Xenopus tropicalis: one gene and its partners. The protein of the gene in region 1 interacts with the protein of each later gene in a pairwise test. Links are inferred from orthologs where the notes say so. Each region holds a gene or a part of one and is shown in the gene's direction. Other genes may lie near its edges. The genes, in order: pin1, abi2, rai1, amot, jakmip2, zmiz2 and ankrd40.

Region 1 (4,509 bases):
AAAATCCGCCTACAGTTTCAGTGAGCATGCAAAGCTGCCATACATGATCTCGTCACACAATAAAATATCACTAACTATCATCTTTATTTTATTCTATATTATATATAAAGCTGGCAAGCTTTTTTTTAATAATGGCTGCTGTTATAAAAACGATTGAGCAATAAAATAAAGGGCTGTTGTTACAATTAAGCAAAACACACTTTCCCTGACCGGGAATCGAACCCGGGCCGCGGCGGTGAGAGCGCCGAATCCTAACCACTAGACCACCAGGGAAGGTTGTATGTGAAATTGCCAGATTTATTTTTCCAAATCGCCAGTCAGTTCTAAAACCAGTGAAATACTAGTCCAAACCCACTTTGAAAGTAACCCAAAAATAGCCCAATGTGCAATGAAAAAAATTCTACAAAAATAAAAGTACATATGGGAAAACCTGCCTTTTTAAAGCATATAATCACTACCCAGTTACTGGAATGGCTGATAATTCCCTGCCCTCTGTGCCCAGTCCAGCTGGGAAGTCGCTACAGAAATAGATTCAGAATCTTGCATTAACCCCAGACTTATAAATATGGGTGCGTTCAACTACAACTCTCAGCAGCCCCAAGATAACTACAGACCTGCCCCCACATCACATACCCTATAGAGCAGGGAGCAGAACATACAGGTTGAGCCTGAAAGAGCAAAAAGGAATAGAAAACGGAGCCTCTGGCTAAACTGCCCAATTGCAAGCTGGGTATTGTAGTTTTATATTACTCCTAGTTGTAGGCTAATTGTTAGCTACAAACTACATTACCCAGCATGCAGTGGAACAAGCACACTAGGGGAAAAAACTGGCTAGGTTCCAAACTACAAACCCGCCAAGGCTCCAAAAACTAGTCCAAAACGGTACTTTGGCGGGTTTGTAATTTAAAAACAAACCAGGGCTTTAAATTAGTAGCCCAATTTGGCAGAAAAACCGCTAACCTGCCACCCATGCTTGTGAGAGCAATTTTAATGCGTAAGAATAGAGAGAGACGCGAACACATTTCTGCGCATGCGTCATACTGCTGCCAATGCGTACAACCTCTCAGCCCCGCCCCTTGTTTTATTAATTACTCCGTTTATTCCGTTACAGCCAATAGTGGGCGCATATCATTTCCCGCCCTTGCTTTCGGTTTTCAGGCTGACTACGTCGTCGGCAGATTAGTTAGCTTAATGGCTAAAAGCTTAGCAGGGACTTAACCAATGAGAAGCGCCGAGCTGACGGAGTGGTTTGTGTAGGCGGGGCTTGGCCTGACGCAGGAGGGAAAGATGGCGGACGAGGAGAAGCTACCGCCCGGGTGGGAGAAGCGCATGAGTCGAAGCTCGGGTATATGGAGTGTAGCGGGCACAGTTGTTATATAGAGTTAGTGCAGCGCTGGTTTGCTTTGTAGCTGTTCCTATTTTATTGTGTCTTGCACTGTGCATAGCGTCCTGATAAAGGTGCTGTTGCAAAGCTGCAGAACTACAATTCCCACTTTGCATTGCGCATTATAGTATTTAGTCGCCTGTAAACAGACTAAGAAATGCTAAGCATTGACTGCTTCTGCTACTGTATGGGGCCATGACTGGTGCCCTAGTATCTGCACCTATCTGTTCAGTGTCATTTGTGTCAGAGTTCGATCTGTTCCTGCTTAGATGCTGATGTGTCTGTGATTAACATGGTGCCTTGTGGCTATGTATTGTATGTATCCTGCTCGGGAATGGTCTTCAGTCAGGAGCCAAGCAGGCAAGGCCCTTCAGAGATCCTTAGTGGGGCCTAAATTAGTACAGTGGCCCCTGGGAAAGGGCCGTGGTATAGTAGGGAGAGATGGTGCCTATAGTAGCAGTGGGGGGATAATAGCCTCTGGGAAGGGACTGGGGCTGTGGGATAGCAGGTATAGTAGGGAGAGATGGTGCCTATAGTAGCAGTGGGGGGTAATAGCCTCTGGGAAGGGACTGGGGCTGTGGGATAGCAGGTATAGTAGGGAGAGATGGTGCCTATAGTAGCAGTGGGGCGATAATAGCCTCTGGGAAGGGACTGGGGCTGTGGGATAGCAGGTATAGTAGGGAGAGATGGTGCCTATAGTAGCAGTGGGGGGGATAATAGACTCTGGGAAGGGACTGGGGCTGTGGGATAGCAGGTATAGTAGGGAGAGATGGTGCCTATAGTAGCAGTGGGGGGGTAATAGCCTCTGGGAAGGGACTGGGGCTGTGGGATAGCAGGTATAGTAGGGAGAGATGGTGCCTATAGTAGCAGTGGGGGGGTAATAGCCTCTGGGAAGGGACTGGGGCTGTGGGATAGCAGGTATAGTAGGGAGAGATGGTGCCTATAGTAGCAGTGGGGGGGGTAATAGCCTCTGGGAAGGGACTGGGGCTGTGGGATAGCAGGTATAGTAGGGAGAGAGAGCCTCTGGGAAGGGACTGGGGCTGTGGGATAGCAGGTATAGTAGGGAGAGAGAGCCTCTGGGAAGGGACTGGGGCTGTGGGATAGCAGGTATAGTAGGGAGAGATGGTGCCTATAGTAGCAGTGGGGGGATAATAGCCTCTGGAAAGGGACTGGGGCTGTGGGATAGCAGGTATAGTAGGGAGAGAGAGCCTCTGGGAAGGGACTGGGGCTGTGGGATAGCAGGTATAGTAGGGAGAGACGGTGCCTATAGTAGCAGTGGGATAATAGCCTCTGGGAAGGGACTGGGGCTGTGGGATAGCAGGAATAGTAGGGAGAGATGGTGCTTATAGTAGCAGTGGGGGGATAATAGCCTCTGGGAAGGGACTGTGGCTGTGGGATAGCAGGTATAGTAGGGAGAGATGGTGCCTATAGTAGCAGTGGGATAATAGCCTCTGGGAAGGGACTGGGGCTGTGGGATAGCAGGAATAGTAGGGAGAGATGGTGCTTATAGTAGCAGTGGGGGGATAATAGCCTCTGGGAAGGGACTGTGGCTGTGGGATAGCAGGTATAGTAGGGAGAGATGGTGCCTATAGTAGCAGTGGGGGATAATAGCCTCTGGGAAGGGACTGGGGCTGTGGGATAGCAGATATAGTAGGGAGAGAGAGCCTCTGGGAAGGGACTGGGGCTGTGGGATAGCAGGTATAGTAGGGAGAGATGGTGCCTATAGTAGCAGTGGGATAATAGCCTCTGGGAAGGGACTGGGGCTGTGGGATAGCAGGAATAGTAGGGAGAGATGGTGCTTATAGTAGCAGTGGGGGGATAATAGCCTCTGGGAAGGGACTGTGGCTGTGGGATAGCAGGTATAGTAGGGAGAGATGGTGCCTATAGTAGCAGTGGGGGGATAATAGCCTCTGGGAAGGGGCTGTGGGATAGCAGGTATAGTAGGGAGAGATGGTGCCTATAGTAGCAGTGGGGGGGGGGGATAATAGCCTCTGGGAAGGGACTGGGGCTGTGGGATAGCAGGTATAGTAGGGAGAGATGGTGCCTATAGTAGCAGTGGGGGGATAATAGCCTCTGGGAAGGGACTGGGGCTGTGGGATAGCAGGTATAGTAGGGAGAGATGGTGCCTATAGTAGCAGTGGGGGGATAATAGCCTCTGGGAAGGGACTGGGGCTGTGGGATAGCAGGTATAGTAGGGAGAGATGGTGCCTATAGTAGCGGTGGGGGGATAATAGTAGGGAGAGATCGTTTGCAGCTTATTGGCCCATGTACAGTGCTGCATTCATAAGTAGCACTATTTACAAAAAAATTATACATAAATGCATGTATGGTGACGAGAACTGAATTAGTGCGTTTATGTTGTCCTTGACTAATGGGTCTGCATAGGGCCATTTTAGAATCTGCTTTTTATTGGCCCAGAAGCCAGTCAATCTGAACAATCCGATCTGGCTCAGATCAAATGAGCAGATATGTTAATGTATGAGTAACGCTATGCTATGAATTCTCCTGCTTTTTTTTTTATACCCAGTTATGGCTGCTTGTGAGTATAGACGTAAGCAGGGAATAAATGTTCTTTTGACATAGCAAACTTTGGCTTTACTTTACTGCCTGTGTACTAGATACTCTTGCTGTACTTTATAATCAATATAGCTGTCCCCCACTAGCGCTATTAAGTTATATTTGTGGTACAGGCACAGCTACCCTCTTGGTTAAAACATTAGGATGTTGGCAGCTCTGTGAGTATCACTGCTTGTTTGCACAGGTTGCACGAGGCTTTGCCCTTACATCTCTCTTGTGCTTTGTCTTGGTTTAAACAGGGCGTGTATATTATTTCAATCACATGACCAATGCCAGCCAATGGGAAAGGCCCACTACTGGTGGGAAAAATGGCCAGGGGGAGCCAGGAAAAGTGAGATGCTCTCACCTACTCGTGAAGCACAATCAGTCAAGGCGTCCTTCATCATGGAGGCAGGACAGGATCACTCGCACCAAGGACGAGGCACTGGAGCACATTAATGGTGGGTAAGGAAGGGGCTTCTGTATTAGTGTGACTGTGCTCTATGTCATAATTAGGGCTTGTAAGTCTTTAGGGAGAGCAGCAGATGGTATTTACCATCTTGGGCCAC
Region 2 (4,802 bases), on another chromosome or scaffold:
GAAAAAGGAGAAAAGGCACAGGTTACATAAGAAGATAACAGATAAACTGTGTAGAATACAATGGGAAACTATGCTACTTATCTGTTATCTGCTTAGTAACCTGTGCCTTTTCTCCTTTTTTAAATGGCTGCCCCCATGGCTACACAGCAGGGTATTTATATAAGCTGTAGTAGTGTTTATTAGGAAAACACACAACTTTTACCAGTGCAGAGCAATAGTATATAATATATTATTTTTATACACTTTCATTTTTTGGTGTTACTGTTCCTTTAATACAGTCTGCAGTGAGTCCTATATTGCTGAAGTTAAAAAAAAAAGTACTGGAAGCTGCTGGGGTTCTATAGCATTTGCAGATGGTGGTAGTTCAGACTGATAAAACAAACATGATCCATAATGCTCTTGTATTTCTTCCTTGATATTTTATTCACTCACTCCTCTATTCAAAAGGATCATTAGAAGTTTTGACTTACAGAAGAGCTGAGCTTTCTGTTGCCTTTAAGAAGAACAATTTCCAGCACCAGCAAAAGAAGGCTGTGCCCAAACTACTGGGTTTACTTTAAGTACATGACAAACAATGAAAAATGATCACAAACATGATGTGATCTGACCTATGCTTATGTCTAAAGCACTTTTCCTTGATATTTTATTCACTCAACGCTGTATTCAATAAGATCATTGGCAATTTTGACCTTCAGAAGAGCTGATCCTTTTGTGGACTTTAAGCAGTTGCAGAACAATTTCCAGCACCAGCAACAGAAAGCCATGCTCAAACTACTGACTTTAATTTTAGTTCATGACAAACTTTATAAAGCATTGGAAATGTCATGTAATCTGGCCTGTGTTTAATTATAAAGCATTGGAAATATCATGTAATCTGGCCTGTACTTAAGACTAAAACTATCTGGGTTGTGGTAAAAACCTTTCCACTGGTGGACTAAACTTATCTGATCCAATTGTTTAGAACCCAATGTAATGATCAGGAGCCCTGCAAACCAACAGGAAGGGACTGCATCCATGGTCAGATATGCTCCATGGCAATTGAGTGTTTTAAACTTCTGGATCCATCTCTGACCTTTATAATCATTTTATAATCAGAGGCCATCATTTTGATAACAGGCCAATAGGCAGATTATGTCTTTTTTTAAACTGAGCTAACAAGAAACCATGTGACCTTGAATTAGGGAAGCACTAAATTCATAATTTGTTATTATAAATGCAGGAGACTTTTCCCCCAAATTTTGAGGGTCCTATGATATTTATGTACATCCCCCATAGCTTCTAATTATGCAACTAGGCAGTATGATTACCAAATTCAAGCCATTTCTAATTTGCTGTGTTCCTTGTTAAGTTCTTATTTTTATTACTAACACTGGGCTTATATGTTCATTATCGCTAGGCTTTACGGATGATAAAAGAGAGGGCTGGAACGGTCACCACCTTCGTCCCTTCTATTCCCACATTCCTCCATCTCAGTGTCTCTCTGTTGCTAGGAAACGAGTTTTCAAATGAGGATGCAGCAGGACGGCCAGAAGCGCGTATTCCAGGGTTCCGCCTACCTATGTTGTGCGCATGCGTTTCCCATGGATTAGTGCGTGGAAGTGCATATCCTATTGGGCACGCCGCCTTTTTTTTGGAGCGCGTTCTCGGATTTTTTTTTAATTATAGTTACGCGCAGGGCGCGCTCCCGAGGATCGCTTCACCATTCCATCTCTCCGCAGTGTAGCGGGGCTCCAAAAGGAGGAGGATGTGGTGAAAAAGATGGCGGAGCTGCAGATGCTGCTGGAGGAAGAGATTCCGGGCGGCCGGCGGGCCCTGCTGGACAGCTACACAAACCTAGAGAGGGTGGCCGACTACTGCGAGAACAATTACATACAGGTCCGACTTTTTAGAGCTGTGAATGTGATGTAGCGCTAGACAGGGGCAAGGGAATACTGGACTGGGCTTCTCGTACACCGCCGATCTGCAGCTTTGTATAGATGTGATTGCGGTCTATGTCCCGGCATCTCTAGTTAGGCTTTCCTATATAGAGGGAGGGATGCTGGGACTTACAGAGAAATGACTAGTGAAATGCAGTGTGATGATCCTGAGTATAATGAAAGCACCGTGATGGGCAGGCACGTTGGGATATGCACGCACATTATAGTGTAATAATCCCACTCTTCACCCTATTGCAATATTGACCCTTACGGGTAGCTGTGCAAGCCTTGCTGTCACGTCACCATGTATTTATATATAGCATCACGTGGCACACACCACTCTTCCTACAGGCAGGGGGGGAGATGTTATTACTGCATTTTCTATAGCAAATGACATCATATTATGTGGGAATGTGCAGTAAAAATGTAAGATTGAGGCAATTGAGGTTGAGTGTAAAGAGTGCAATCTTAAACCTCCTATAATTGCCAAAATGGCCAGTATCAATATTGAGCCATAGGTTGCCCCCCAAGAATAGGTTACTTTGCTTCAAATCCACCCCCCCCCATTCACCAGTCACATGGTTCATTCAGTCAGGAGCATTATACTGGAATACACCTACACTTTATGGGCTGTTGGGTTATTCCAGACATGTCCACTATGCCAACTATGTGTGTGATGTTAGGAAGCTACTAAGCAATTGGTGAGATTCAAAATATCTTGGTTATGTTACCATTTAGTGTACAGTTGTAAAGAAAATGAACCTGCATACCTGTTCTGTAGGTAAGAGCTGGCTATAAGCAGTAAGTGCAGTGTATCAGAGCTGAGCCTATACTCCTGCCTATGGAATATGTAGGTTTTCTCTTTCCTTGTTTTGGGCTGCATGCCCTGACCCCCCATGTCACACGTTTATTAAAGCTGATTCTTAGGCTGTTAATTTTTCACACAGACACCAATGTATATTTTTCAGTCATGGAATACATTATTTGTCATATTGTGAAATGCTTATCTTTCATATATATATTTAATTGTAGTTTTATGGAGTAGAACACTGATGAAATGGTATGGGCTTTATATACAGTTATGCAGTGACTGCCCTAGGGTTTCATTACCACAGGGAGCATGTAATTAATGTGTGAGACATCCCTGATTTGTCCCTTTTTTATTAATTATGCAGGTTTACATTAGGAAATGCATCTTACGTTTCCCATGACACATATGTGCTTAGCTGTTAAAAACTCTTGTGGAGCGTCTGCATACTGCTTGGAAGGTTAATTACAACTATGTGGTGGTTTGATGTGGCTGTTTCCTTTCTGACTACCAAAAGGAGATGAAGCACACTTTACTCCTTCCAACACTCAGTTGAATGGGAAGCAGTTACACTTCCAATTGCTTAGAGGGGTCGTTCACCTTTGAGTTAATTTTTAGTATGATGTAGAGAGTAATATTCTGAGACAATTTGCAATTGGTCTTTTTTTATTATTTGTAGTTCAGCAGTTTTCCAGTTTGGAGCTTTAGCAGTTATCTGGTTGCTAGGGTGTAACTTACCTTAGCAACCAGGGTGATGTTTGAATTAGAGACTGATATATAAAGAGGAGAGGACCTGAATCAGTGACCCCCATTTAAAAGTTGCCAAGACTTACAAGAAGAAAGCAAACAATTCAAGAACTATAAAAAATAGTTTTTTTCTATGTTGAGTTTTGGCATCTGTTCCTTTCAGTAAATAACTAATAATAACTTGTATAGGCACAACACTTGCACCTTAGTATGTCTTACAGAGCCACAATGATCAAATAGATTGATGTATATTCATTTCATCTGTTGATTTCAGAAGTTCTTGAAAATGAAATAAAAATTAAAGAAATCGGATTGGTTAAATCGAAACCTGTTATCCAGAAAATTCTGAATTATGGCAAGTTCATCCCCTTAGAATCCATTATAAGCAAATAGTGCTTGATCCTGACTAAGCCACAAATCCATATTGGTGGCAAAACAATTCTTTTGGGTTTATTTTGGGCTTTAATTATTTTTAGCAAACATAAGGTGTGGTGATCTAAATTATGGAAAGACCCCTTATCTAGAAAACCCCATGTCCTAAGCATAATAGATTCACTATCTGTAATACTTAGTTTTGGTTTGTTTTTTTGCCGATTCAGTAAATCACGTTATCATGTTGATCTTGACTCAAAACGGAATTGCAAATGTAAATGTGCTAAAACTACAAAAAGTAAAATGCTTAGAATTGACCCAATAATGAATGATGTATTATATATGTATTAATGACCTAATATTGCCAGCATTGGGCTTAAATTTTTTAATATAGAAGGTTTGGAAAGTTGTTTAAACCTGGAATAGTGAGTGGGATTTTTTTTTGTCTGTGTTGTTGGTTTCTTATTCATACATTTACCTATGACTGGTAAGAAGATTTAATTTAAGACAGGTTTGGGAGCTGGCTGAATTTTCTCATTTTTGGGATTTGCTAGAACCAGTTGAAAATTTACTGGCCAAATAGCAAAAATACATTTTTTTTGCTCTAGAACCTTAACATTTTAACAGAAAAACTTCAGTTCATATTTTAATTTGTTTATTAGGGTTCTGGTTTAGTCCAAATATTTATGTGAAGTATTATGTATGTATGCCTCCCTGCTATAAAGCTATGGTGTTGACATCCCTCATGTAATATTTTAGTGCAAACCAACAGGGAGTTAATAGCTGTGTTCACCATATTCTGCTGCAATGACCTGTAGGGGTTTCAGTGTAAATCCAATGAGAATGTGCAATAAAAAGAAAATGAGAATTGATTTCTACTTATTATCATCTCAAAAGAATTAGCATAAAATTCATGTTCAGGAATACTTCCTTTGGTGAATAAGAAAGAAATAAGGAAT
Region 3 (4,531 bases), on another chromosome or scaffold:
GTAGAGTAAGTAGAGCTCTATCAATCTGCTTTTATACTCCCCCTAGAGATCTGTGCAATGGAACTGCCTCCTGCCCCCCAACCTGACTTCTCTGTTGGACTGTTCCTTACCTGACAATGGGGAAGAGAGCAGCCCAGGAGCAGGAAGTATGTAGAATCGGAGCTGTGCATTTGTGCATTAACCCACAGCAACCAAAAAACCTTGACTTTCTGAATCAGATCAGTTGTGATCAAATGACCAAATAATTGGGGAGCCAAAAAGCCCTGATCCAGCCAGAAAGCAGGCAGTAGCACAGGGTCTCCTCTGGGTGGCAGCAAAGCGCAGGCAGAAGCGACTTCATAGCTTCTATAGAATGAATATTATCCTTATTATTTATACATGACAGGCAATGCCCAAATGGAGCTTCTCCTTTCACTATCTTTAGTTATTTAACCTTGGGAGGAAACCCACACAACAGGGGGAAAGTACACAAACCCCTTGCCAGTGTGGCCTTGGCTGGATCTGAACCCAGGGCCCCAGCACGGAAAGGTCACAGCTACTAACAGTATAACTATAAAGGAAAGGGTTAAGGGCAACTAATACAGCAAACCCCTCCCCAAAAGTAGTTCCTGTAGCTTCAGAGGTGTAACCCACCAACCCAAAAGAGGCGGGGCTTACTGGAAAGTGGCTATGGGTTTAAATGGGTAGCTGGTAATATTCTCCCAGCCAACATTCCCCAGGCAGCCATTCCCAAGCCAATCAGATCTCTCCAATGCTGGTGTTTCTCCCTGGGACAGTTTAGAAACCAAGGGACACCAGCAACAGGGTTAGGTGGGGTCTGTGTTCACTTCTAAAAATAAGGTTCCATTGGTTTCTATGAGACAAGACACACTGACCATAGACAGTAGCACAGACTGCCCTCTATCATTGCTGGTTTCAGGGTAGGGCATGTGGGAACATGTGTAATTGTATAACACACACTATTTGACTATATATAATGAACATATAAATTCCCAGAATGCCTCCGACAGGGAAAGGCCCATGTCTCTGCGGGGTAAAACCAGAAGCTATTATTATCCTGCCTAAAATAGCGCCGTGTGGTTTGGCCCAAAAACGTCAGCGACTCGGAGGGTAAAATCCATCAAGTCGTGCTCTGAGGCTGAGGTCCGGTTTTTGGGAGACTGGCCCAGTTTCTGGGTTTGGCCCAATTAGCTGCGTGTAAGGGGGGGGGGTATCCTTCCAGGTGTGAGTGGATTTATTCCTTCTGGACTCCCCCCCATCCTATCATTGCAGGGTTCCATATAGTCTGCTTGCTGCAGGGGTTAAACCAGCGCTGGGAGGAGGAAATGATCCCTTAGGTGTCCATTGACTCGGATCCACCACTAGGGGGCGCTCCCGGCCTTGCCGTCATCCCTTGCCCTCCCTCCATATACAGCAGGGCAGCCTCCTCTGGAAGTCTTTGTACCGATAGCGAGCAGGGAAGCGGGCACAGCTCACCTGGCAGCCTGGCATTGCCCTGTCTTCAGCCGGATTAGGGGGGACCCCCCTGCATATGGCCTGTGCCTGCCTGTCCCCACAAGGAGCCGACACAGAGGAGCTGGCAGCTGGAGAGAGGTAGGGGGGATTTACCCGTTCTACCAACTAATCATGTGCCCACCAGTAGGGACCCCTTAATCTTCTTATTCCTGGCACCCCTGCTAGCTGCTGGGCTGAGTGGGTGCAAGCTGCCACTTAGTGTCTAAGCTACTGAACTAAAGGGGGGTGCAAAGTGGCATTTAACCTCTTAGCTGCTAGGCTTGAGAGGGGGTGCAAGGTGGCTTTAAACCTCTTAACTGCTGGGCTTGAGGGGGGGGGCAAGTTGGCACTTATCTTCTTATGATAGAGGCAGTACCCAGGTGGTGTTTAACCCCTTAGCTGCTTGGCGTGAAGGGGTGCAAGTTGACAGTTAGTTTAACTGCTGAACTAGGGGCGGTGCCCAGGTGGCATTTAACCCCTTAGCTGCTCGGCTGAAGGGGGTGCCAGGTGACACTTAATGTCCTTGCTGCTGGGCTGAAGTGGGTGCAAGGTGACAATATTAGGCCTGCAATGTATATATATATATATTTTGTTTCTCATTTTTAACCTAATGTACTGATTGCTTCCACTGTCGCCGTGATATCATTGCAAACACTTGAGAAATCATTGTTGTGCCGACTTGGCACCAGGCAAGAATTGCATCATCATGTGCCAGCCCCTTGGCATCAGTGGCGCTCTCGGTGGGGTTATAACGGTGCAATGGTGTGAAATAATAACAATAACAGTTCCCTGTTCACCAGCTGGAGGTTACAGAGTCAGAGCTGGCAGTGAGGACTGACTACCTAAACTGCATTCAGTTAATGAAATACTTCTATGCGGTTGGTCACAAAGCTTTCCTTGGGTAGAGGGCACCTATGATATATATATATATATGTGTATATATATATATGCACACTTGTAGGCACTGAGGGCCTGTTGGGAGATTTTTGTGTAGATCCCTTATATAGCAGTGGGCATAATGCCATCCTGTTTGGTGGCCTTATAGACCAGCTACTATTATGTAACATAGTAACATAGTAAGTTGGGTTGAAAAAAGACATACGTCCATCACGTTCAACCATAATGACTATATATGTGCTCTAATGGGTGTGTGAGGCACAATTTTACTCCATCTGAGCATCTGAGGGGTCAGTGTAACTGAGGGTCTTGGCCTCAGACCGTATTTCATATGAATCAAGGCATGGGTGGGAGAGTGGCCCCAGTGAGATGCCACCTGTATACATGCATGGTAAGGCAAGAGTAGGAAGGGGGCGTAACTGTGGGTTAGTGTGTATGTATGGGGCCACTGGTTGCACAGCAGCGCTTTCTATATGAATACCAGGGCCCCATATAGATTGGGGAGCACAATAAAGTGGTACATGCTGCTGGTATCTACCGTATAGATGGGGTTTTGCTTTCACTGATTCAGTTATAACATGTGACACATTCAGACAGAATAGGAGTGACCCTTGTTAGGCAACTTCAGTGTCTATGGGGCTCCATTTTGAGTGCTTTGGGGCACAGCGCCCAAAACACTGATTGCTCTGACAGATTGTCAAGTATGTTATCTGTATATAGGGTTGTTTGTGCTTGAATGGCAGTGCCACCGGTAGAGCTATTCAGCTGTTCGGCTGGAAGAATCCAACAATACCAGTATATTTCCTTATTACAAACATGCCCAATGGCAAGAAACCATGTCAAAATGCATGTGACTGGGTACTAGGAGTTCCCTGTCCCAGTCCCGCAGGGCCCTGGGCCCGTACCACTGCTGCCCAATACTTGCCTCAGTCATTTTGCCCTGCTGTACCACACGGGAAGTGGGGGCAGGTATCAGGTGTTCTGATCACTGTGGGCAGGGAAGACTAGAGGCCATGTTCTCCGGTGGGCCCAGGTACTAAAGTTAAAGGTATCCGCCTGTCACTTGGCACACAGGGTAAATTTTAAGCCCACAAACCATCAAAAGTGAATTTTAGGGCTGATACCATTGCAGATAATGGCATTAGGTGGGCATTAAAGTGATACAGGTATGGGATCCCTTATCTGGAAACCCTGTTAACCAGAAAGCTCCAAATTCCGGAAAGCCCATGTCCCATAGGCTCCATTTTAATCAAATAATTCAGAATTTTAAAATTGATTTCTTCTTTCTCTGTAATAATAAAACAGTACCTGTACTTGATCCCAACTAAGATATAATTACCCCTTATTGGGGCAGAACAGCCCTATTGGGTTTATTTAATGGTTAAATGATTCCCTTTTCTCTGTAATAATAAAACAGTACCTGTACTTGATCCCAACTAAGATATAATTACCCCTTATTGGGGGCAGAACAGCCCTATTGGGTTTATTTAATGGTTAAATGATTCCCTTTTCTCTGTAATAATAAAACAGTACCTGTACTTGATCCCAACTAAGATATAATTACCCCTTATTGGGGGCAGAACAGCCCTATTGGGTTTATTTAATGGTTAAATGATTCCCTTTTCTCTGTAATAATAAAACAGTACCTGTACTTGATCCCAACTAAGATATAATTACCCCTTATTGGGGGCAGAACAATCCTATTGGGTTTATTTAATGGTTAAATGATTCCCTTTTCTCTGTAATAATAAAACAGTACCTTGTAATTGATCCCAACTAAGATATAAATAATCCTTATTGGATGCAAAACAACCCTATGGGGTTTAATTAATGTTTTATTGATTTTTTAGTAGACTTAAGGTATGGAGATCCGAATTACGGAAAGACCCCTTATCCGGAATACCCTTGGTCCCGAGCATTCTGGATAACGGGTCCTATACCCGAACTGACAAGTTAAAAATTTTGGCACCAATTTCATGTTCTAAATATAGACCACTTCTACCCTCTCACAGTTCCCCCCGTGGCTTTTTCTCACTAATGATGTAGGAGGACCGGGGGCAAAAACCTTAGAGGGTCTCATGTAACAGTGTGTGTTAGCGGATAGGCCTAGTAGTAATTAAGGCCAGCTTTCTTCAGCTGA
Region 4 (4,032 bases), on another chromosome or scaffold:
TGGTGTAAAGAGTCCTTACCTGCTGGGAAATTATTTGTTTTCATAAGTTTCTTTTATTTTAGTATTTAGTAAACTCATTAAGAATATTCAATATAAGTTAACGTTTGTTTCTCTTTTGGTTTGTCTTGCAGGATAAAGACACTACACGCCCAGATTATTGAAAAAGATGCAATGATTAAAGTTCTCCAGCAGCGGTCCCGCAAGGACCCGAGCAAAACAGACCAATCCTCTACCATGCGGCCTTCCAAGTCACTTATGTCCATTTCCAATGCAGGATCTGGGCTGCTTTCCCACTCCTCTGCACTGAGTAGCACTCCCATTTTGGAAGAGAAGCGGGAGGACAAGAGTTGGAAGGGCAGCTTGGGTAATTATAGCATTACATTACAGCAAACCAACTTCATATAATTCTCAAGGTTGAGTAGTTGCATACACTATATTACTCTAAGGTAGTGCTGTCCAACTTCTGTTGTACCGAGGGCCGGAATTTTTCCGACCTACGTGGTGGAGGGCCGATAATGGAAGCCAGTTTTGACAACTCCCCTTTTTGAAACCGCACCCACTTGAAACCACACCCATGTTATCACATGACCATACCCATATTAATGGTTGTAGTACAGCAAAAACCTGCCATACTCTGCCTGCCCTACCCTGCCTGTGTGCCATACTCTGCCTGCCCTACCCTGCCTTTGTGTGTGCTATACTCTGCCTTCCCTACCCTGCCTGTGTGTGCCATACTGTGCCTGCCCTACCCTGCCTGCGTGCCATACTTTCACTGTGTGTGCCATTCTTGGCTGGTTTGTGCCATACTTGGCCTGTGTGTGCCATACTCTGCCTGCCCTACCCTGCCTGTGTGTGCCATACTCTGCCTTTCCTACCCTGCCTGTGTGTGCCATGCTCTGCCTTTCCTACCCTGCCTGTGTGTGCCATACTTTCACTGTGTGTGCCATTCTTGGCTGGTTTGTGCCAAACTTGGCCTGTGTGTGCCATACTCTGCCTGCCCTACTCTGCCTGTGTGTGCCATACTCTGCCTTCCCTACCCTGCCTGTGTGTGCCATACTCTGCTTGCCCTATGCTGCCTGTGTGTATGGCACACACAGGCAGCCTACAGTGACACAATGCTGGCACTGCTCCTACAGTCTGCACAATAACTATATATTAAAAAACTTTTTAATTGTAGTACCACCTCAGTATATGTTCTTTTTGTAGTGTGCAGGGATTATTTGTGGGTTTCTACTGCTCCTGAGGTGTGAACAGGGGAACAATGGGGGTGATTACAGCCTGAGCCTGAGGTGTGAACAATGCAGAGATTAAAAGGTGTGAACAACACAGGGGATTACATATTTAAACAATACAGCCTGATTACAGCCTGAATCTGAGGTGAGAACCATGCAGGGGGGGGGGGGGGGGCAGTTAATCACAGTACTGATACCATTTAAAGCTTACACAAGAGTAAGCCATCAAAGCAGCCAGACAGGTGGGGGGCCACACAGAGGGGGGTCGCGGGCCGCCAGTTGGACAGCACTGCTCTAAGGGCACACAAGGTGATATTTAAACATGACTTTCTCATGTTGCCTTGTAAAATAATTGATGGATTGCCTAAATATTTTATTTTAGGAGTACTACTTGGAACTGAATATCGATCGGAATCTGCATCCTCCACTCCCTCCCCTATTCTTCCCTCCACACCCCTTCTCTCTGGACACTCCAAGACGGGTAGCAAGGATTGCTGCACACAGACAGACAGAGGGGCTGAGCAAAACAAAACTCCATCAGTGAGTGCTTCTCCTGGCCCCGGGAGGCTGACTACTCCTAGCCCTATGTACACCTCAGAGAGAACAGGTACTATTCCACAATACCGTATTTTTCCGAAGGACTAGCTATACAGCAAATTATTTTGAAATGTAAACAAACCATTTCAGTTTTTGAAATTTAAATGTTGCAAATTGTTTCAAAACCAGATATGATTTTTAAGTTAACTTAATGTCACTATAAAGTGCATGTTGAGAAAATTAAACTACAGTTTTTATTTTGTATAAGGGAATATATTTTTATTCCACCTCCTCCTTGTCATAGTAGTAGGTCTAGTAGTAGGTCTAGATCATTGTCTTATAAATCACTAATAATTGTCTGACAGGCTAAGGAGATAAGAAGATGCTATAATGATATCATTTTCTTTTCCTATCTCCTCCACTTTTCTTATACAAACAAATCATTAGGCCAGTCTGTCCCTTAGCTGTTCTGTCTGCTTGCAGGTCAACTGAGTGCACTGCCCCCAGGTCAAAACCCATACTAAATCATAATACAGATTTGTAAAAGGCATGAAAAGACTGTTTGTGATACTAGCACATATGTTAGTCTTATTTAGAACCACAACGGTTTAGAACTACTGTATTTTTTTAATCTTATAAAGTGGCTGAATTTGATTTTTTTTCCTGTTTAATCTTCCAGCAGACACAGTTTTCCAGTCAAGCACCTTGGATCGAAAGAACCCTCTCCCACCTCTGGGGCAGGATCTCACAGATGGGGAGTTGGTGGAATATCTCATATAAGCACAGGGTTTATTTTTTTCATAACAGTTATTTATAGGAAGAGTGGCCCCAAATTATTTATATGGACACTAAGCAAATTAAATAAGTTTGTTTTCTATTACAGTAATCTTTCCTTTCATATTTAAAAAAACACATGTATTTTGTACCAAAAAAGGGGACTGAATCTCTGCAGAACGACGTTTTTCCGGATTTACACGTGGCTACACTGTTGTAGGCAGATAAATGAATTTATGCCATTTCTGGCACTGAAGGGTTAACTCACAGGCCTCTGTGTGTAGCATTATTTGCCAACAGAACTGCGCCAAACAAGAATGCACTTCTTTCATAATGACTTATATATTATATGAAGAAAAATGTGGGTGGCTGGTGTGTGGGCCCCACAATATTTTTTTTTCTTTTGTTTCTATTGTTCCCGCCATCTTTAAAATAAGTTCCTTACTCTGCAAAATGCATTTATTAGAATTTTTGTAGATATGATACTCTTTCACAGTGAGTCTTTCTGGGAACCTCTGTACTAGTAACAGGATGCATTTAGAAAAGCTGAACCTTGTGGATCCAACAGCCATCTGCATTTTAAAGTATTGCATATGTATATGTAACAGCTTTTAAACTATGGCAGTAGATGTTGTGTGACCTTATGTACAAGCCAAGTAATTCACCTTGGTTATCAGGTTTGGAAAGGATTACTGTAGTGTCCTTCACTAGTGGCACTCAGTTTGGTCTGTATCTCAGTTTAAGTGACTGAGCTGCCATACTGAGATGCTCTGACAACTAATCATGAGAAGTTCTGATTTTAAACAAACACCACTGGCCAAAAAAAACATTTTTCCAATGTATATAAATGTAAAGATTACTCTGGTATTTGCAAGCAAAAGTACATTCTTAGCCAATTATCCATTCAGAGCTGAATTTGGCAGTATAAAGTCAAGGCAGTATAGGTTGAAGTGCTACTGTACACGCCCAGGCTCTTCTTGGCTCATTTGCTTAGTATTAATTGTATTGGTTACTAGTATGATTAATGCTATGCAAAAATAGCTGGGGTATTTACAGTAGTGCATGAATTCTCACTGACCTGCCTGCCTCTGACTTTGTGCTGCTAAACTTTGCATCAGCAACAGCCCCCAGTTTATTGGCAATCAATACTCTCTGCTTTGTCTATCACAAAGAGAGAACATTACACGGTTTCCAGGGCATCCGAAGAACATGGTAACAGATTTGCCAATCATGGAGACACTTTTTTTTTTTTTTTGCTGTATGTTTAGATCTGTTTGCCTTTAATATCATCAGCACAGCAGCCCTTACAGCTTTCACCTCTACTTGATAAAATTGGAAATGTCAGACTGCATAATCTCAATGTATTTTCATTTATTTTATTTATTCCCAAACTTTATATATAGATATCTCAGAACTCAGTGTAGTAGGGTTTTTATAAAATTTAGCATTTCTCATACATTTGTATCCAATAGAAGTCTTGCAGCAATGT
Region 5 (4,032 bases), about 93 Mb from region 1:
ACTCACAGGTAAAAGGGATTCACAGAATATTTGTAAATGTTCAAAATTTTGAAAATAATGAGGATAACATTCATAGTGATAACCCCTAATAAAATCTGGTCGTTTTGTTGGGCAACCAAAGCCCTAATATATTGTCACTTCAACTAAAGTACTCTAAGAAGGGAACTGGTATATATTTCTGATTACACACTTGCTCCGTGTAATGATAGTAGTGACAATCATACACTCACACATTCTGCTGCTTCAGTATATCCACACTTCTTGGGAAATGCCAGTAAATATCTGCATACAGAGGGAAAACCTTCACACAGATTAGAGTGGCAGCATTTGTAAAGCAAAGGCCTAGTGAATGGTCAGTAGGATTTTCTATTAATGTACAGAAAATCAAGGCAAGTGTAAGACCTGCACTTGCCTTTTAATGTGGTTAGGATATGAATTATAGCACACATTTCTTGATTAGTGACGAGTGAATCTCTCCTTTTTTGCTTCTCTGAAAAATTTGTGAAACTGCTGAAAAATTTGCGAAACTGAAATATTCCCGAAATACGGCTACTGCATACATTTTTCAATGCGTGCAACTTTTTTTCATGCAACCAAGACTTTTTCTTCACTTGCCAACTTTTGTCACAACAACTTTTTTCTGTGGCAAATTTTGCAAAAAAAATCACCAGTTGCGAAATGTGGAATTTGCCAGCGATTCCATGCCTGCTGAAAAAATTTGCTCACCACTACTCTTGATGAATTCACTATAGGAAAACACATCTCTTCCATTTAGCCTAGTACATCATTACTAGCCTTACTAGTAACACTCCTGTATAAATACCTTATACAATCTATGCCTAAACAAAGGGACTAAACACCAAATTAATTCAGCAACTGTAGTGACATAATAAAAAATTAAACATTTTTAAATTATTTCAGGGCTTCCAAGAGTGCAAAGGGTGGTACTTCCCTGCATCATAACATAAGAGGGGCCCAACATCCACTGGGGATGGCTGCTCCTAACTGAGTCGCGAGGTTGGACCAACACAAAGTAGGCAGCAATCATGTCTAAGAAAGGCAGAAACAAGGCTGAAAAGCCGGAAGCTCTTTTACTTGCTCTTCAAGCTGCTAATGAAGACCTCAGGGCAAAATTAACAGACATTCAAATTGAGCTGCATCAGGAAAAGTCTAAGGTAAGAAAAGCCATTTAGCTTCTGATCAGCATGTCCAGATGTCCAAATGTCCAGTCTTCACCATAAATGATCCCAGATGACACAAGCACAATGTCCATCCTGCAACTTTCCTCTTCCAAAAGTAAAGAAGATTTCATATTCTCTGCTGAAGGGAATGATAGCTGTAAGTAAATGGCTGGGGCAATATAGGCTGGAATGGTAAGGGGTCTTCAGTCCAACACAACAGTAGTTGTGTTCATCCTTATCACTAATTTTTCTCTACACCCATGGTGTAACTAGAAACTATTGTAATTTTACAGTTCCGTAAAGTTTGAGAATAAAACATTTTTCATAAATATAGGCTGAACCTACTTTTCAATCAGAGCTCCACTGGTCCCCCTATACCTCCAGGCTCCCCAGCTCTCACTGGTTGTGCTTCCTCTATCTATCACAGTGTAAAATAAAATGGCCATTTTTCAGTTTCATGATATTCCTGTCCAACAGCTCTTCCAAAACCAAGTGCTTTAATCAGGACCAGAATGGGAATAGGGTTTAGGAAACAGAGGTGGCTGTCTAGGGCCAAGGTGACTGCCTAGGGCTGCAGAAGCACCATTTTAATTGAGATGCTAGTAGAAGCACTTATGTAGTGCAAATTCATTATAAGCATTTATATTTACCAGAATTATTTCCTGTGCTCCCAGATCAACTATGACATACACTGTTCATTGTAGGCAATGGCATTGCATGTCTACTAATATAAGACAACAAAAAGCCTTGGTCTGTAGAGACATGGTGAAGCTAGTTTTAGTCTCTTCTGGCTATGTAACTGGAGACTTTATGTTACCTAAATCATGAAAATTGAGGTCCTGTCGTCTGTCATATAATGAACTTTTCACAGGCTCAGGCTAGCTCTCTGACAGCACCAGCAAATGCCACTATGCTCTCTATAACTTGTATTGGCATTTACAGGAATTGTGTACACAGTCCTTTAAGGGTTAGTGTGATAAAATGCCAGAACATTATTATTATTAATCTCACTGTGTTACTGACATTTTAATGGAAATCTGATTTTTTGAACAACATTTTAAAGAAAAGTATTGCCTGTGCTGGTATTTTCTCCAAAAACAAAACAAAAACAATACTTCAGAGCATTAGAAAAGTATGCTGACTCTTTTGTATTTTTATAGAGAAGGGTCAATATCACTGCCCCTTCTGTTATATAATAGTGACCCACCTGTTTAGCTGGCGGCGTGCACAGTTTATGTACTGGAATGGAGGAAAGTGGAGGAGCCCAAAGATGCTGGAAAACCAATTTAAACTGCGTCCCTGACCTATACCCAGGCCAGAATGAAGGCTGCGTATTGGTTTTCTTTTATGAAAATGTATTTAATTTGCATAATACTAATTATCATTAGATATGTAATTCTGTTTATTGTTAACTCTTGTGCTTTCTCCAAAACACAGGTAAGTAAACTTGAACGGGAGAAGAACCAGGAAAGCAAACGCATTAAGGAGCAAGAGCAGCACAGACACACTGTTACAGTTACCGAACTAAAGTCAAAGCTTCATGAAGAGAAGATGAAGGAGCTTCAGGCGGTGAGGGAAAACCTAATCAAACAGCACGAGCAGGAAATGTCAAGAATGGTCAAACTAAAAGAGGCAGAGATCCTGCGTCTCAAGTCAACTGTCAATGCCTTGAGGGATGGCAGTAGTGACAAAATAAGGACAGCACTGAGCACTGAGGCGCGGGAGGAGGCCAGAAAGGTTTTTGACTCTGAGCGCCTCAAGCTCTTACAGGAAATTACAGAGCTAAAGTCGGCCAAGAAGCAAGTGGACGAGGCCCTTAATAATATGATACAGGCAGACAAAATTAAAGCTGGAGATCTGCGGAGTGAACACCAGTCCCATCAAGAGGCCATTGCCAAGATTAAATGGGAAAGTGAAAGGGACATCAGAAGACTGGTAAAACCTAATTTTATTCTTATAAAAAGAGATATGTTTACAATGTTAAAAAATATATATCACAGGGAAAAAAATACTTGCAATATTTTAAGTAGGACAAAAGAGATACCTTCCTGGCTCCATAGCAGGGTACATGTAAATAAATCAGATATAAGTGTATGGAGCAGGACAAAATGTTGTAGAACAGTATACACCTTAAGACACCTTTGCTAAAAATGAGCACATTAAATAGCATTGTGTTGAAATTACATTCAACATATTGTTTTCATTTTAAAAAAATCCATATTTTCCTATTTTTGCCATTATAAAGCACTAATATGAAAACTGGACTATTTCCTTAAACTTAATCCCAACGTTCTTTAAAAACAGGTCAATTTTTCCTATCAACCTTTGAAGAAACAAACCCCTCCCTTCTCTAAGCAACTGAGTAGCTTATTATCAGGGACTTCTCAGGTGTCTAATTTTCGTTATCAGCTTCTGAGCCTTTTAATGCCCCCAAACCATACTCTGTAAAGTAACTTGTCTAAAGTCAAAAGAGATTGGCCAAAACAAGGTTTTGCATCACTGGGGTAAATGCCATTTGGCACAATTATACACCACATAACTCCAGGTTAGGCACAAGACTAGGCAGAGTTGCACTGTTCTGTGCCATATGTATATGTCAAGGTTTTTGCATTGTGGCACAACCTGGGCACCAATATGTGGATGTGCCGATTGTTGCTTTGTAAAGTATTGTTTTTTCAATCAGTATGATGCTTTTTATAAAAAATCTTATATGGAATAATAACATAACCTTTTCTTTTTTTTTTTTTTTTAATGTTGTGCTTCAGATGGATGAAATAAAAGCAAAGGACAGGATAATCTTCTCATTAGAGAAAGAACTAGAAACCCAGACCGGTTTTGTGCAGAAGCTCCA
Region 6 (4,032 bases), about 10 Mb from region 1:
GATGCTATATAGTAAGGAGTGCAGGCAGGGAGTCTGATGCTATATAGTAATGAGTGCAGGCAGGAGGTGTGATGCTATATAGTAATGAGTGCAGGCAGGAGGTGTGATGCTATGTAGCAAGTAGAGCAGTCAGTAGGTGAGATGCTATATAGCAAGGAGTGCAATCAGTAGGTGAGATGCTGTATAGCAAGGAGTGCAGGCAGGAGATGTGATGCTGTATAGTAAGGAGTGCAGGAAGGATGGGAGTTTCTCGTGGCTGTTTCTCATTAAATAATGTGATAAAAAGTAATATAACAGGGAGGGTGGATTGTGTTTGGGATTCAGGGATCACATTTGTGTTTGTAATGCAGCGAGTGGGGCACTGCTGTGCAGTGCAGAGTGTTGTTGCTGTGTGTTGGAGTGAGACCTGTGCAGTACAGAGGGGAGCTGTGCTGTGAGGGAGGGGGCTATGCATTCTTGTTTGTTTGGGTTGGACAGACTGATCCTGTTGAGCAAGAACAAGACAGAACCCGATGTTCCAGGGACATGTTGGGAGAGAGAGGGAGGCGGAGGGAGCAGCATGATGAGGAGTAGAGGATTTGTGTATTAATGCCAGCCCTACTGGCTGCACCATGCTCATTAACCCTGCTCGGTAACTCATGCCTTTTTCCAGGAATTGTATGCCTGCCCTTGCGCTTTTGTGTCTGGGCATTATCGACTTTTTTGTCTCCCCTCACCATTTTATTAATTTATTACTTTGGATTCCTACAAGCACAGAAATAATAAACTCATGTCCATACAGTTATGCAGCCTGTAACTCCCGGCATCCGTAGCCAACATGCATTGTGGAGGAATCTGGGATTTGTAGCTAGTGGTATGTCAGTTAGACCTTCTCACTTAGCCTGCTGAAACCAGGGTATTAATGAATACATGCTTCAGTTATGTGACAATCCCCTGTTTTCTTAAGGACTACTCTTTGAAACTGTGACTCCCAGCATCCTTGGCCAATATGCATGGTGAAGGATTCTGGGATTTGTAGCTAGATGTACATCACTTATACTTCTCATTTGGCCTATTGAAGCCAGGGTATTAATGAATACCGTACCTGCTTGTGTTCTGTGACAACCCCAACCTTCCCCCCTAACCCGGTTTTGTTTTTACATCTACTTCATACTTACATAGATTCCTGTACCTTAACTCCCAGCAACCCCCTTTCATTAATCATCAGCCATTATGATATCTAAATCCTCTGTAAAAGAACCTAGTTTACTTTTTGTTGATATTTTTACTATTACCTGTATGTACTTCAGCCCCTCAACTAGTAATGCTCCAGTTCAAACCCTGGTTGCTAGGGTAGGTAGGGCCCTAGCAACCAGGTAACAGGTGTTCAGTTGCAAACTGGACAGCCGCAAACATTTTTTTTCACTAATTCAAACACTATAACAATTAAAAAGCTTATGTTAGGGTTAACATAAAGTTTTCTGGATAATTGATAATAAACTAGTGTAGAAGTGGAGATTGTTTTCTTAGTCTGTCCGACACTTTCCTCGTATATTTTCCTTATATTTGCCCTGCTGTCGACACCTGCTACCCCTTTCTCCTGCCCACTCACAAAGAAAGTTTCCCCTTCCCCTGCTGCACTTGTTCATTTCTGTCTCCCACTTACTGCTCAGCCTTTTCCGTCCCTGCCCCTGTTAATTTCCTTCCTGTCCCCCAATGAGCACTCCCTTTGCTGTGTCTGTACTTCCTGCGCACACCCTATCCGACCCCCTGCTAGTGTGCTGCTCATTGGTTCTCCTCTGTGCACACATACCCTGGTGACCCTTGCCTTCTGAGCAGCAGCTGACTCCTCCTGTAATGTATTTGTAGGCTGCCGTGCTACCAGTCCTGCTGCACCCCAGTGTAGAAGCATATATGTATTTATGTGCCTCCATTTTATGAAGTGACCCAAATGCAGCTAGGTGCTACTCAAGCCAAGTTTGTGGACGTCATGTGTTGATTTTGAGATACAGTTTCTGCAGTGGCTGGGGGTGAAATTCCCTGCTCCCTTGGGGAGGTTGCCTGTGTACAAATGCCCAGGAATGGGCAAAGGAATTTGTTTAAGCGTGCACTTTGGAGCATAAGAGAGGGCGGTACCTGTTTGTGAGGGGGATGAGGGGGTTTTCATTGGTGTCTTCCCTGCTGGGCAGTTACAGTGTCTCCTGACAGAAACAGGGTTAATCATGGGGTGTCTAACTAGTGCCAGATGCGGGCAACTTGCCAACTTCCACGTCCTGTGTACAGAATGCGTGGTCATGTGACAAGAGGAAGGGAGAGGGGCAGATGAGCAAATTGTTAACCCCTAAAGCGGACTCTAAAATAGGCAACTTCTTTATAATAGATTGAGGCTATCAAATCTGTGGTAAACGAGCCCATGAACTGCGACTTCCATCATCCTTAACCAACGTGGGTATTTGCATGGTTTGGCATTGGCTGAAGCCATTTACCTCACACATTGCTGTCATTGGTTTGTGTGAATTGCCGCTCAGTAACTTGCCAGTAGTGTGCTGACCCTGTATAGGATATGAGCTGGGTGGGGAATGAGGGGATGTGTGCGAGAGGTTTGGCGTCACATAATTGCTAGGGAGGGTACTGAGCAGCTGTGATGTAGGGAACGGTGAGGTGATACTGTATATCATTGTTCTTCAGCCCCTTACAAAGAGAGTCGCCTGCAAATGAACTCCATGAACCCCATGAAACCATCGCACCCCAGCACCGGGCACAGGTGAGAGACCGCTACCCCTATCTCTTTCACACCTCTCCCTGCTCTTCCTGCATGTGCACTGCCATTTTCCCTCTGAACACACACACTGACTCCTGCCTGCCTATATCCGTGCCCTTCTTGTCCCTTTGCATGCTCACACACACACACACACACACACACACACACACACACACACTGCACTTGCTACCATTTCTAAGCGCACAACTATTTTCCTCCTCTGTCTGACAGTGATGGTTCATTTGCATACGAGTCTGTTCCCTGGCAACCAAGCACCAATCAGGCAGCAGGATCCCTCTCCGTGGTAACCACCGTCTGGGGTCTGAGCAACACATCGCAGAGCCAGGTAATTTGATGTCACTGGGGGAGGTGCCTTCTAAACTGTTCAGCCTTAACCTTTCCCCTGCCAGTGCCTTACAAAGCACTGATGCATTAAATCCTTCCAGCCAACCTGTAATATATTATATTGTACCTGCAATTCATTTCTCATTTACTTGTCCTCTAAAAAGCACACAACATATTATATATTTATATACAGGTTTCCTGCACCTTTGCCTGACCACTACAAAGAACCTACTACATTTTTTCTTTAATTCTTTCTTCTCCTCAGGTCTTTGGTAATCCCATGGTGCCCAGTGGTGGCCCCAGTGGGGGCGGAGTTATGCCAGGTCTAACAAGCAATGCTGGGGGGATGGGAAGCCCCCAGTTTATTGGCCAGCAAGGTTTCCCTGAAGGTGGAGCAGGAAAGAGTTACCTACAGCAAAGCGTATATGGGCGAGGTGGATACCCTGGGGGCAATGCGTATACCAATAGGTACTGTAACTGCTCTGTGCTGTTTAGGTGGGTGTGGGGTGGTGGTTGGACAGGTTGATCTATATTTCCATTAATTATAATTTTTGTGTTCATTAGTGTATAATGCATGTGTATATATTTGTATTTCTAGCACAGTCATTGCAAATGTGTGTGTGTGTTTTTTGTCCTACAGTTACCCCGGTGGCCCCACATCTGCAGGTGGCATGGGCATGCCACAGCATACCGGTCGTGGCCCAGCAGATTTCACACAGGCAGCAGCTGCAGCAGCGGTGGCAGCAGCCACAGCAACTGCTACTGCAACAGCAACCGTGGCTGCCCTACAGGAGAAACAGAGCCAGGAATTAAACCCATATGGAGCGGTGAGGACAAGTCTCCACCTTTCTTGTTTGTGTTCTCTTTTATTCCTCCTTTCCTCCCCTCACACCTGCCGCCCGCTATTCCCATGTGCTAAACCCCCCTCAGGATTCTTGCTGCCTTTG
Region 7 (4,692 bases), on another chromosome or scaffold:
CCTAGGGCATAGGTCCCAACTGTCCCGCTTTACGCGGGACAGTCCCGGTTTTTGCCTGCTGTCCCGCTGTCCCGGATTCTTATCAAAATGTCCCGCGGTGCCTTTAAGAGTCCCGCTCGTCTGCAGGTCTTCTCGGGTTTTCTCGGCTCATTCCGTCACCGCTATCTTCGGATCTTCACGGCTTCTTCCGCGCGTTTGTCTTCGGCTCTTTCTGGCTCCTTCAGGTGCTTTGGCATTCGGTCCTTTTGTAGTTTTATGCAAGTCTCGCGAGATGAGTATGGCAGAGCAAGCCATTTCACTTGAAATTCAGAAGTAACAGGATGGGTGCTGGTGCTGCTCCTGCTCAGACTGTGGGTCACAAAAGTTACGCTGGTGCTGCTGTGCCTTTATCTACTACTGTGCAAGCTCTACTTACTGCTCCTTTTTTTAAAAAAAATAAGCTTGGTGAGTCCCTGACTGTAACAAAGGTGTTTATTAATAATTAATATTAATTATTAATAAACACTTTTGTTACAGTCAGTAATTATTAATAAACACCTTTGTTACAGTCAGGGACTCACCAAGCTCATTTTTTTTTAAAAAAAGGAGCAGTAAGTAGAGCTTGTACAGTAGTAGATAAAGGCACAGCAGCACCAGCGTAACTTTTGTGACCCGCAGCCTGAGCAGCACCAGCACCCACAACAACAAAAAAAAAATGTGCAGGAAGAAGCTGTGAAGACCCAAAGACAACAGTGACAGAAGGAGCCAAGGAAACCCGAAGGAAGCCAAAAAGACCTGAAGACGAGCAGGACACTTAAAGACACAGCGGGACATTTCAGTAAGTATCTGGGACAGCGGGACGGTGTGCAAAAATGGGACATCTGGGGGTGTGGCCATATAGTGGGCGCGGCAAAATATTTTTTCCCTCTTTTTCGTTTTCAAATGTTGGGAGGTATGGCCTAGGGCCCAACGATTGGGGGATGCCAGGCAGGAGCCTCTCCTGCCTACCCCATGTCATTGCCCCATTGCCCCAGCCGCTTGTCATTACGCGGTGGGGGCAATGATCCATCGCATCGCACCCCGAGGTTGCCTAGGGCGCCTGGTCGCCTCGGCCCGCCCCTGAACAGGACCCCAAAACTCCCAGAAATGTGTTCAAACTTTAAATAATCTGCCAAATTTAGTCAAATGTGAGTGGTGTTTAGGGGGTGTGGCTGCAAAAAAATGGCCATGGTCAAAAAATCATTTATTTTTGTCCCTCTTTCCCTTTTCAAAATGTTGGGAGGTGAGATACTGAGTCAGTCTCAAACTGAGGGGGGGGAGTGATTGCTTAGACCTATAGCTTCAAGGAACCTTCATTATAATAATCAACAAAATGAAGAATCGCTATAAAAAATACATCTAAACACTAGTATTTATTATTGAAGCCAGTGGCGCAATATTATGCCCCAGCAAGAGACACATTCCGGGCCTGTGTATTCGTGCGTAACCCGGAACCAAAGTGCCGCGCCTGCGGTGTCCCACGGATTCCTGTCCCCCAGCAGAGTGTTCCGGAGACATGCCTCCATCCGGGAGGGCGGATTATCTCTATTTTTACGTTAAATCGGAAGAGTGGGATCGTGATCTTGGGACCTTTACAGTGTGATGGTTGGTGTGTGAGTGGGACTGAGCCGTACGTACCCTGTGCGTTACACAGCTATTATGTTGCTTTGGGCCCGGGGGTAGGGCTACACTGGCACCACTTCCCTGCCCGCTCCGGGCTCTCTCATTATCACACTGCCCCAATTATAGATTCTTTTCTACTCGTTTGATTCGCAGAAGAATCACAAAGCTGCCTTTTTATTTTGCATAAAATCTGATATATATTTCTATTACTGCAGCCAGATGAAGATGTTACTAGAGTAAAACCGAGGTCCCATTTTTATTTTTGGAACCCACCTACATGGAAGAAGGATTGAGGGAGGCTGCTGCTTTGGGGGATTTGGAAGAGGTGCAGAAGCTGCTGAGATGTGGGGCCAATGTTAATTCACAGAATGAAATCAATGGCTGGTAAGTGGCACCCCCAACCCCCATCTTGTTGTTTATATGGGGGTGGGGAATTGGTTCTGGAAGTGTAAGTTCTCCCTGCAGGGTAGCATGGCTCCAGTAGATGGGTATTCAGGTAGGCACAGTGGGACAAATATAGGGTCCTGTTAGTACTTGGGCACTCCTAGGCAGTTTGGGTGATGGGTGTTATTATGATATATACATATATATATATATATATATACATACACATACATACAAGAACAAATGGAGCACACCCTATACAAGATCAAAAGCCCTGAGTGCTGGCAAAAATAAATCCGATGTTTCGAGCACTAACGGTGCTCTTCCTCAGGGTTCGTGCTCGAAACGTCAGATCTTTTTCAATAAATACTTTATTTATATATAAATATATATATTTATATACAAAAAAGTTCTCACGACCGCACCTCACTCCAAAATGCTAATAAATAGCTGCCCATGTGCACGGAATACAAAATAAAACACAGCCAGCACCAAGGGTCTTATAGTTCAAAACAATCTCAAGTGTATTGCATGTATAACCAATAATACATGCAATACACTTGAGATTGTTTGAACTATAAGACCCTTGGTGCTGGCTGTGCTATATAAAAGAGCAATAAAGGCCAGCACTCACGGGACTTTTAAGAAAATATTGTGTCAGCAAAAATAAATGGTATACAAAAATTGTCTACATGGTTTTTTATATATATATATATATATATATATAACAAAATAAATATAGGGGGTCTGATAGCTATCTGACTAAGGGTCCCCATACACGGTAAGATCGCCAAGCGAGCGGATCTTCCCCCGATATCCCCACCTACAGGTCGGCGATATCGGGGAGCTCGAAGTTAAAAAAATAAAAATAAAAAATAGGCGATTATATAGGCGGCAATGTATCAGTCGGTTCGGGGACCGCATCAACGAGCCGATGCGGCCCCCGATCCGACTGAATCTTTTAACCTGGCCGATCGATAGCTGGCCAATTTCAGGCCAGATATCGGTCGGCCAGTCTGCTCGTTTCTGCCCCTACACGGGCAGATAAGCTGCCGAGTCGGCCCAAGGGACCCATATCGGCAGCTATTATCGGCCCGTGTATGGGGGCCTTTAAGCATCAAATGGACCTTTTCTACTCTCATCACAGATTTCTGCTTCAACCAAGCCAGAACCCTGCAGAGGTATGGAGGAGAAAATTAACAAAGCAACCATCCAGGATTTTGCTTTAAAGGGGTTGTTAACCTTCAAAATAATTTTTATAATAACATAAAGGGTGCTGTTCTGAGACAATTTGCAATTGGTCTTCATTTTCTAATATTTGTGTTTTTTTAATTGCTTTTTGTTCAGCAGCCCTTCAGCTGGGAATTTCAGCAACTATCTAGTTGCTAGGGTCCAATATAACTTAGCAACCAAGCAGTGGTTTGACAGAAAGACAGAAATATGAATAGGAGAGGGGCTGAATAGAAAAATAAGTCATAAAACGTAACGATAACAATAAAACTGGAGCCTCACAGAGCAATAGTTTTTTGGCCCCCATTTAAAATCTGGAAAGCTTAAAAAATATATAAAAAATGTAGACCAATTGTAAGAATAGGCCATTCTATAACATACTAAAAGTTAACCTGAAGGTGATCCACCCATTTAATTAAAGTTATCCATTATTAAGTATATATCTCTGTCCTTGTTCCTTATCCCTCTGCGCCATTGCTCTAAATCATAGCTGATTATATGCAGTGGGCAAATTATATATGATATTGCAGGTTTAAGGGCTGGATTACATTAAAAAGATAATATACAGTAAGGTCTGTGGAGCTTTTAGGCAGCCTGGGAGCCATAAAAATCCACTCAGAGGCCTCCCGTTGGATGGCCCTGCTCTAAATGATAATGTACCATTCGGGTAAAGGGTAACCGATCCGGTATTGTCCACTGGCTCTGACTTGCAGCATGGCTCCAGTGCTTTTGGCATGCACATATATGGGTTTAATAGCCAGACTCCCAGATGGATATTTTCATATCTCTTTATGGCAGTAGTGTTTTGGGGGGACCCATTCTCTTTGGGCCTGATGAAGGAAACATGGAAACATTGCTGCAATAAATGTAGGAGCAGGGACGGCACAGAGTTACTCTTTCTGTAAATTTTTAGGGATCGGCACTCCACTAAGGCTCAACTTTGTAGCTGCCTTTCCACCCTGCCTCCCTGCACTCACCCCAGTTATCAAGTGGCCCCAGTGGCTTCTACCCCAACTCCCAGAGTAGCATTGCCCCTCCCAGTATCCCTCAGGCTCTTGACTGGCATCCCACCCACACTCCTTGATGATGTCACTCACAGCTAAAGACACCCAGGGCGGCTTTCAGTATAGTACTGGTATAACCCAGCTGTTCCTCTAGACCCCACTGGCCTATATTCATTATATTTGTATGTATCTCCCCAAGGACTTGCCTGCATTGGGCGTGCAAGCGGAACCACCTGCACGTTGTGTCGTTCCTATTAGAAGCCGGAGCCGATGAAGATATTCTAACGAGCAAAGGAGAGAGGCCAGTGCAACTGACGTCCAAGAAAGACATCAAGAGGCTTCTGGGAGGTGAGACTGACATGCCCAGACTGGGGGTTCTACTTACATGGATACTAGTGATGTGTGGGTTGAAAAATTTCAAGCCGACCCGGCC

What was found.
Region 2: the proteins of pin1 (region 1) and abi2 interact in binary tests that used the Homo sapiens proteins (3 or more experiments, as listed by UniProt). The link is inferred for Xenopus tropicalis from reciprocal best matches to the Homo sapiens genes PIN1 and ABI2.
Region 3: the proteins of pin1 (region 1) and rai1 interact in binary tests that used the Homo sapiens proteins (3 or more experiments, as listed by UniProt). The two-hybrid records come from large-scale screens. The link is inferred for Xenopus tropicalis from reciprocal best matches to the Homo sapiens genes PIN1 and RAI1.
Region 4: the proteins of pin1 (region 1) and amot interact in binary tests that used the Homo sapiens proteins (3 or more experiments, as listed by UniProt). The two-hybrid records come from large-scale screens. The link is inferred for Xenopus tropicalis from reciprocal best matches to the Homo sapiens genes PIN1 and AMOT.
Region 5: the proteins of pin1 (region 1) and jakmip2 interact in binary tests that used the Homo sapiens proteins (3 or more experiments, as listed by UniProt). The two-hybrid records come from large-scale screens. The link is inferred for Xenopus tropicalis from reciprocal best matches to the Homo sapiens genes PIN1 and JAKMIP2.
Region 6: the proteins of pin1 (region 1) and zmiz2 interact in binary tests that used the Homo sapiens proteins (3 or more experiments, as listed by UniProt). The two-hybrid records come from large-scale screens. The link is inferred for Xenopus tropicalis from reciprocal best matches to the Homo sapiens genes PIN1 and ZMIZ2.
Region 7: the proteins of pin1 (region 1) and ankrd40 interact in binary tests that used the Homo sapiens proteins (3 or more experiments, as listed by UniProt). The two-hybrid records come from large-scale screens. The link is inferred for Xenopus tropicalis from reciprocal best matches to the Homo sapiens genes PIN1 and ANKRD40.

The regions. Positions count from the first base shown.
Region 1 is NC_030679.2:136,779,954-136,784,462, reverse strand, and holds the start of pin1 (peptidyl-prolyl cis-trans isomerase NIMA-interacting 1), read left to right. Parts: upstream 1-1,238; 5' UTR 1,239-1,287; coding exon 1,288-1,345; exon of another isoform or gene 1,346-1,381; intron 1,382-4,200; coding exon 4,201-4,401; intron 4,402-4,509. UniProt on the Homo sapiens protein: Peptidyl-prolyl cis/trans isomerase (PPIase) that binds to and isomerizes specific phosphorylated Ser/Thr-Pro (pSer/Thr-Pro) motifs.
Region 2 is NC_030685.2:54,198,165-54,202,966, forward strand, and holds the start of abi2 (abl interactor 2), read left to right. Parts: upstream 1-1,676; 5' UTR 1,677-1,758; coding exon 1,759-1,875; intron 1,876-4,802. UniProt on the Homo sapiens protein: Regulator of actin cytoskeleton dynamics underlying cell motility and adhesion. Functions as a component of the WAVE complex, which activates actin nucleating machinery Arp2/3 to drive lamellipodia formation.
Region 3 is NC_030685.2:15,515,106-15,519,636, reverse strand, and holds the start of rai1 (retinoic acid-induced protein 1), read left to right. Parts: upstream 1-1,406; 5' UTR 1,407-1,593; intron 1,594-4,531. UniProt on the Homo sapiens protein: Transcriptional regulator of the circadian clock components: CLOCK, BMAL1, BMAL2, PER1/3, CRY1/2, NR1D1/2 and RORA/C. Positively regulates the transcriptional activity of CLOCK a core component of the circadian clock.
Region 4 is NC_030684.2:52,155,982-52,160,013, reverse strand, and holds part of amot (angiomotin), read left to right. Parts: intron 1-131; coding exon 132-364; intron 365-1,614; coding exon 1,615-1,839; intron 1,840-2,448; coding exon 2,449-2,549; 3' UTR 2,550-4,032.
Region 5 is NC_030679.2:43,563,436-43,567,467, forward strand, and holds part of jakmip2 (janus kinase and microtubule-interacting protein 2), read left to right. Parts: 5' UTR 1-8; intron 9-921; 5' UTR 922-1,046; coding exon 1,047-1,175; intron 1,176-2,618; coding exon 2,619-3,116; intron 3,117-3,946; coding exon 3,947-4,032.
Region 6 is NC_030679.2:126,301,020-126,305,051, reverse strand, and holds part of zmiz2 (zinc finger MIZ domain-containing protein 2), read left to right. Parts: intron 1-2,667; 5' UTR 2,668-2,693; coding exon 2,694-2,743; intron 2,744-2,971; coding exon 2,972-3,086; intron 3,087-3,350; coding exon 3,351-3,553; intron 3,554-3,725; coding exon 3,726-3,912; intron 3,913-4,032. UniProt on the Homo sapiens protein: Increases ligand-dependent transcriptional activity of AR and other nuclear hormone receptors.
Region 7 is NC_030686.2:46,622,531-46,627,222, forward strand, and holds the start of ankrd40 (ankyrin repeat domain-containing protein 40), read left to right. Parts: upstream 1-1,551; 5' UTR 1,552-1,623; exon of another isoform or gene 1,624-1,856; 5' UTR 1,857-1,918; coding exon 1,919-2,025; intron 2,026-4,458; coding exon 4,459-4,607; intron 4,608-4,692.